Caenorhabditis elegans: one gene and its partner. The protein of the gene in region 1 interacts with the protein of each later gene in a pairwise test. Each region holds a gene or a part of one and is shown in the gene's direction. Other genes may lie near its edges.

Evidence for each region.
Region 2: the proteins of T28C6.7 (region 1) and pas-7 interact in a two-hybrid assay, tested with the Caenorhabditis elegans proteins (2 studies listed by BioGRID).

What each region holds. Positions count from the first base shown.
Region 1 is NC_003282.8:8,826,227-8,830,817, forward strand, and holds the start of T28C6.7 (Kinesin motor domain-containing protein), read left to right. Parts: upstream 1-1,577; coding exon 1,578-1,727; intron 1,728-1,774; coding exon 1,775-1,988; intron 1,989-2,292; coding exon 2,293-2,768; intron 2,769-2,822; coding exon 2,823-3,215; intron 3,216-3,322; exon of another isoform or gene 3,323-3,462; coding exon 3,463-3,556; exon of another isoform or gene 3,557-3,714; coding exon of another isoform or gene 3,715-3,906; intron 3,907-4,047; coding exon of another isoform or gene 4,048-4,215; exon of another isoform or gene 4,216-4,236; intron 4,237-4,355; exon of another isoform or gene 4,356-4,501; intron 4,502-4,591. Other genes in the region: T28C6.8 (Membrane protein BRI3), read right to left, coding at 3,715-3,906, 4,048-4,215.
Region 2 is NC_003280.10:10,098,253-10,101,442, reverse strand, and holds pas-7 (Proteasome subunit alpha type-3), read left to right. Parts: upstream 1-1,588; 5' UTR 1,589-1,589; coding exon 1,590-1,659; intron 1,660-1,708; coding exon 1,709-1,821; intron 1,822-1,866; coding exon 1,867-2,436; 3' UTR 2,437-2,661; downstream 2,662-3,190. Other genes in the region: puf-12 (Pumilio domain-containing protein 12), read right to left, coding at 1-37, 90-594, 642-944, 995-1,114; lact-2 (Beta-lactamase domain-containing protein 2), read right to left, coding at 2,754-2,978, 3,027-3,190.

The sequences.
Region 1 (4,591 bases):
CTGAAAAGCCTAGAATTTATGCTATCAGTAATGCTGATTTTTCAGAAGAACTGATGAGCTTAATAGACACAAATGCCTTTTGAAAATAGAAAGAGAACTGTGTTTCATGGGTTACCAAACTTAGTAAATTTTCTTCTCGATGCTGTTTGATCTATCTTGACCCAAAAACTTTAGTAAGACAGAAATTATTTTAACAAAAATATCAGTTGTGTGCTTTGCTTTTTTACATCGTGCTCTCATGTACTGACAGACAATGAGACGTGTTCTTATAACGTTTTGTTCACAGTTTTCAATGCTTACTTTAACTTTTCTGAATACACACCGCACAGAAAACTAATGATTTAAAATGGCCTACATGAAGAGTTCCAAAACAGAAAATAAAAATTGAAAAGTCATGTTTTTTCATGCCAAAATAGTCATTTGGTTATTTTTACCATCGATTTCTTTTTTGTAATTAATATCCGTATTTAATGTCACTAATATTTCACCGAGCTCTCCCATTATTTGGCCCATACACTATGTCAATGGTCACCGCGAAAGTGAAATGCGCCACCGCAAACGAATGTGCGTCAGCAGAAAATCAATAACGCGGGTGCCGTGTTGGTCGACGTGTCTCTCGAAAGGAACTAATTCGAACCAGTTTTTTGTAGAATTTCGTGTTAAAACTTCATTTTTGATTCTTCAGGAATTAAATTGCACGTAGATTTGTAACTGTTTTAAGTCGTTTCATATATTCTTCCTTATGTTTCAAATTTAGTTATATAACCTATATTTAAATTGCTGTATTAATTCACAGTGCTAGCCAAAGAAGCAACCTTTTTTGGTTTTTGATATTGTTGAGAATGATTAAAATGAATTCCGAAACTATTTCCGAAACTAATTCAGAAGCTAATTCAGAAGCAAATTATTTTTACTTTTGTATACTTGTTCAAATAAGTTAATTATATTCACTAGTACCAAAAAAAGCGGAATTTCTAGAGTATATTATTATTATAGTTAAAAAATGAAACAGTAAATGAAAATTATTTTACTTCAGCAACCTTTAAATACAAAAATAAATATTTTGTTAGTTATACTTCTGATAACTAGGTTACGAGTTATACTTTTGAATAATTTGCAACATTATCAAAAAACTGAAAGTGAATATATTTTTGGCATGCTCCTTATACCTAATCAGTTTATTAACTTTAAAAAACGATTTTTCATCCATTATAAGACTTCTCAAGTAGTGTCGGAAGATTAAAAAATTTTAGAAAAAAAAGGATGTGTTCGGAAAACTTTTTGAAAAAAAAACGTGAGACGCATATTATTGCGTGAGATTAAAATGTGAGCTTTCCACGTGGGTTCAGCGCCTCTCCGTTACGTGGAACGGGGTTTCTCTGTTTCTCTCTCCAATCTCTCGCAGAAAATTTATTCTGGATTTACAAATTATTTAAAAAGTTTTTGAATAATTTTACGTCATCCCTTTTTTTAAACTATAATTTTCAAATTTCTTTTCTTCTCATTGTTTCTTCACGTCCTTGAAGTATACTGTCACTTTTTAAATACGTTAAATACAAATATAATACTTTTCAGAAATGGAGGACAAAACCTCCAAAGAAAAAGAAAAATCGGCCGACAAACGGATCGATGAACGGGTTCATCAACAACTGGTGTATAAGGATAACCGAATTATAGATTTAAATAATGTGATATTGGATAAAGAAAGGCAAATTTTGGACTTACAGGTGAGAATTATTCTGTTTCTGTGGTTTCATATTGGAGTTGTATTTAGGAAAGAGTTCGTGAGCACAATGAAGTTGCTTCAGTCAAAAATCAAGCAATGAGAATTGTTCAACAAAAATTTGAAGAAATGAATAGAGACAAGAAGGATATGTCGACAGAAACTGAGCCTTCTTTGATGGCTCATTCCTCAGTACCATTATCAAATTCAAAGAGTGAACGGAGAGCAAGAAGTTCATCTCCAGGTCATGTCATTGCACAGAGAAGTGAGTAAAGTTTTTTGGTTAAAAAAAAATGAAGTTGTCATGCACCATTTCTGAATATATATGACGTTCAGTTTTATTTTTAGAATTTTTTTATTATTCCCAAACAGGAAAATTGCTGATCTTAGACGTGTTAGGACAACTGTAACCTACAGTAATCTAAAGGTAGCTTGCCCAAGTAATTTGTATGCTCCTCTTTTTCTTGAAAATAAGCTCGAAAATTGAGCACACGGCTAGAAATTGAAAATTGTGACGATATAAAACTTTTTTTTAAAGTTTAACGGAATTGAATTGATCTATTTTTCAGAAACGATGGTCTCAAGTTCATCGGGAACCTTCTCTCCTCCACCATTGGATCCTCCATTTGATCCATCTAGCAAACTGAGCGCTCTTCCAGATATTGACGGAATCCATAGGAAACATCAAAGAAAACGTGTAACTTTTGATTTAAATCCAAATGGTTCTTCAATTGGAACATCAACATCTTCCAATTTTCCATCTACATCTGTTTCCCGCTATCCCACCATTTCAATGTCTTCTTCAACTTCAGACGCTCTCGAGTCTGCTTTAACAGAAGCTTCATCTGAAAATGCTTTACTCCGTCAGCAAGTTATCGAACTAAACTCATCTGTTGAAAAAATGAAAGCAGACTATGAATCTGAAATTCTCAAATACACAAAAGAGGCAAAAACTGCTGGACTCAAGGCAAAGGTTGCGGCGACTGCAAGAATCAAGGAGTTGGAAACTACACTTGAAGATATCAATGGAAAATATGAAGATGAGGTAAGTGAAATAGATGAATATATCATTTTGTATAGAAACGTTTCCAATTTTCAGAGGGATCGTCTTCAAGAAGAAGTTGACACTCTCCGATCTTCTCGAAATTGGGAAATAGAACAAAATGCTCTTCTTCGTGATCAAGTTGCTCATTTGAAAGAAAAAGTTCACAAGTTGACAACAGAGTTAGATGCTAGTGAAGTAGCCAAACGATCCTTGAGCTCAGAAGTTGACGAATCTAAAAAGCTGATGGAATTGATGGTTGAAGATCTCCTTCAAGCTGAATCCGCTATCAACTACAATCAATGTCAGAAAAAAGCTATTTTTGAGGACATTGACCGATTGAAGGATGCCATTCAAGCACAGGATAGATTTATTGAAGTTCTTGAAGCTGATATTGTCATCTATGAGCAACATATTGGACTTTTGAGAGAGAATTTGGGTGCTTCACAGGTAAGATTTTTATTTCCTGTTGAAGCTCATTTTTTCCATAAGAAAATCTTTAACATCTCGAAATTTCTAGTCTAGAGAAAAGTCAATTGAAATATCTATAAAAAAGAAAAAGTATTATATTTATTAACGGAAAAATTCTGGAAATATACGTTTCAAAGTTATGTAATTAATCACACTGAAACCCGTAGTTTAATTGACCAAAATCAAACAGAAAAAGAAACTGAAAAATATTTCAAATAATTTACAGGTCGATCATCGAGCACTGATAAAATCAAAAGCTTTCGAGACGAAACTATTGGCTTTGGAACGCGAAAAAGAGCAAAGTGACAAGAAATCAAATGGTGAGACGATAGGAGACTTTTTTGTAAAGAAAAATGGGATAAGTATCATTTAAAACTTCTGATCAAGTATCAGAATAATCGGAAATATTTACTTATGAAAATTACTTAAACGTAACAAACCCCTTTTGAAACCCTGGCGAAATCAAAAATTCAAAAAATTAATCCACAATTGGTGCAGTTGATAGTGTGGTGGAAACTGTAGAATCTGTGGATGATGCTGTCATTGCCGGATTACGATATGCAGCAAAACTAGCTGGAAGAGCCGTTTTTGTAGATTCGTACAAACGGAAGTTGTAGCCCAATCCGGGAGTTCTTGGTAAAATAGCACGGGTTTCAGTACGTTTAACCACCTGCAACATTTGATTTATTAAAAACGAGATAAGACATTAGCTATTGCAGAACACCAATACATTTCTTTAGAAATTATAACTAAAGCTCTCATTTTCATAAGAACTAAGCCTTCTAATTTTATTTTGAAAGAAAAAACTCACATCACATTGACATTGTGTGCAATAGTATGTTTTCCGTTTCATGCAGCAGTAGATTCCACACGGAAAGCAAAAAATTGCGTATAAAATTGCTCGCCAACTGAAACGGCTTTTCACTTTTTTCTGAGTGCAAGCCGGACATGACAGATTAGAAGATGTAGTGGATGACATGATGGTTTTGAAGTTTTACATCTGAAATTTAAGCTTTAAAAACTTTTTAAAAAGTGTTTGAAGAAGGTGTGCAGCAGTTTCATATCTGGAAGCTCATACGTGCTTCTCCGTTTATGAGAATAAATTATGCCTAAACTCACTTGCCACATCGAATCGTGTTCCAATAATGCAAAAAAAAATTAATGTGGGACGCAGCGTGTCAATAATCGATGGGAGAGAAAGGACAAAGTATCCGCTCGACTGCCACCTCACTGTTTTCGCCTAAAGTATCACAATCAACTAAAGATAGACATAGAGAGAAACGGCACGCAGATATACAGACAGACAGGCAGACATATAGAGAAATTAGAGAAACATTGTTTTGTGTTGACAATAC
Region 2 (3,190 bases), on another chromosome or scaffold:
GACATCCTCACTATTTCTGGGGTTAATTCGTTGAACACTGCAATAATTATGTTCTCGTAATTATTCATGGGAACCTTCAAAAAACTTACAGTTGTTAATGATTCCTTCTCTTTCAGTGGCAACAAGACATTCGATAACTCTGCTGGTGTCGTGAGCATAGATCAGCTTGGCAGCGTGTCCTTTTACAAGACCATACAACTCGTGAACCGCAGTATCCTTTTCAGCTTTTGGCGTCTTTCCCATTCTGATCTTTTCCCAAAGTTCCTTGCATTTTTGAGCACGAGCTCCTTCAGGTTTTCTCTTCAATTTCAACTCCTTCAAAAATGCTTTTCTTTCTTTTCTCGGCATATTCAGCAATTGTTCTTTAACAGACTTTGTGACTTGAATAGCTACTCTCTTTCTCTTTAGAGTTGGAATGTCAATATGAGATTCATCTCCACCTGCTTGTTCGTCGACAGATTCCAAATTTTCATCGTCTGCTGGCTCAGAAGCAACGGCTTTCTCTGCATTAACCTTCACTTTTTTCTTTGGGGGAGCGGAATGCTCTTCTTCTTCTTCCTGAGCAACTTTGACAGTCTTCACTTTGGCAAGTTTCTGAAAAAAAACAATTGTGTAAAAGACGATATATTGAATTAACAAACCTTAACCTTCTTATCAAGAGGGGATCTGAGAATTCCTCTTCCTGGAGATGCCTCTGATGGTTTGATTTGAAGATCCTGAACTCGCTTATCGAAAACCTTAACATGTTCAAGTTCTCCTGAGAAAAGCACTTTTTTCGATTTCTTTTTCGGTGCTGGCTGGCTTCCGAACGAAGACTCCGAGCACAAAGAGTCACGAGTCCCATCATTATCAAAAACTGATGTTGAAGATGACTTTTTCAACCTTTCCAACTCGTCCTTCACAGCTTTGTCTACTTTGCTTTTTAACGCTGCTTTTTCTTCAATCTGAAATATTTCACAAAAAATTATTTACAAAATGAAGTAATTTAACAAACCTTAACAATTCGCTTTCTGTCTACTTTGTTGAGTTTTAATCCTTTTGCCTTTTTCTCCAACACATTTTTAACCTTCTTCTTCCCTTTGAATTTTTTATTTTTGTCGTCGAGTTTCACCATTTTTACCCGCGAGATTTCTCTGAAAGACACGCATATTAAAAGGAGTAATAAACACAAGACAATTTTATGTGAGGTTTAAGCGATTTTTACTTTGGAAACAAATTGCACAGCTTCAAAATAGTAACAAAAAGTTACGAAAAAGTAAAGAAAAATGAAAAGAAAATGTTAAAGGCGCATGTTGTCTTCTGACGTCTCTCAATTTACACACTCTCTTCTTCGTCGTTGCGAGACCTGCCGCAATGTTCGTCTCTCCCGTAAATCGACATTGGAAAATCATCATTTGAAATTTTATTTCCATTTAGCTGCCATTTTCAGATTATCAGCTTTTATTTTCGCAATAATTCTACTATTTTTAACGCATTCAAATAAACGAATTATTAAATATTAAATTTTAACGGTTCTTCTGATTTCCGCAGAAATAAAACACGTACCAGTTGCAATCATATATGTGTTAACATAGTTTTTATTTTGCAGAATGAGTTCAATCGGTACCGGCTACGATCTCGCCGCCTCTACTTTTTCTCCTGATGGCAGAATTTTCCAAGGTTTGTTTCGATTTTGCTTTGTTCAAAATACTCATAATCTCGTTTTCAGTCGAGTACGCTCAAAAGGCTGTCGACAATGCAGGAACAATGATTGCAATTCGTGGCAAGAACGGAGTTGTGGTCGTTGCTGACAAGCTGATCTCTTCCAAACTTTACACTGATGTGAGTAATTTAAGAGATTTTCAAGATTTTATCTATAATTTTCAGAACGCTAATCCAAGAATGTTTAACGTGAACGACAATGTTGGTGTCGCAGTTGCTGGAAACTATCCAGATGGTTTCGCTCTGAAGAACTATGCTTACGGAGAAGCAATGAAGTGGCTCAAAGACTACCGTGAGCCAATGCCGATTCAGAATATTGCTAACTCAGTTGCTGAGTACATTCACATTCACACTCTCGGCATTAGTCGTCCGTTTGGAGCAGGAGCCTTCTTCATGTCATGGAACAAACAAACTGGAGGACGTCTTTTCCTTGTGGAGCCATCAGGTCTAAACTATGAATACAAGGCATGGGCTGTCGGAAAACATCGCCAAGCCGCAAAAGCTGAGATTGAGAAGCTGAAGATCGAGGAGCTGGATGTGAATCAACTCGTGAAGGAAGCTGCTCGAATCATTATGGTGGTGCGTGACGAGAACAAGGATAAAAACGTTCAAATCGAAATGGGATGGGTCGGTGAGCAGACGAACGGAAAGTACGAAGAAGTTCCAAGCGAGGTTGTCACTGCTGCCGAGGAATGGGCTATTGCCAAGCTTGACGAGGACGACATGGACGATTGAATCATTCTCGTGTATTTATTCACATTTTTAATTTATTATCAGCTCTCTTCTTTCTGCCCTGGTAAACTTCTTGCGCTCGGCGAGTCATTTTATTGTACTTCAAACCGACTCACCGACTTCAAGAAGAACTTTTTGCACCCGGATGTTTTTTTTTAACTTTTTCTGTTCATTATTTTTCGGTTTCCCGGTATTACCCATTTTTCTCAATACAAATTCAGACAAACCAGAAACATGTTTATGCACAATTCGCTGGGGGCAGTAGACCCGTCCCAAATTATGGCGCTATGTACAAACAAGGATAACAACAATTTTTTAAGTTATGCGGCAACTGCTTGAACTGCTTCCTCGATCATCACACTTTGACCAGTCTTCTGTTTCTCCAAGCACTCAAATACAGAATCTCGAAGATGTCTGTATGTTCTCGTAAGCTCTCCCATTCCAGTTTTCAATCCATTCGAGACGTAGGCAATCGTGATCCCATCTTCCAAATCCATCATTACTGTGCTGCCACCGTAACCAGGATGTCCAACAAGCCACTTTTTCTGAAAAAATAATTGATTTATTATTATATTTATTAAAACGATGCTCACCCCTCCCATTGGATGTCTCTCGTATAGGAAACCATGTCCTTTTGGTAGAGGAGTCATGACAACTTCATCAATCCCCTGAACTTGGGGGGCACGGAACTTTTCTAGAAGTTCAGTAGAGAACAGTTTTCCTTGTTGTACGAGTGAGAAAAGTCTAGCTAAATCTC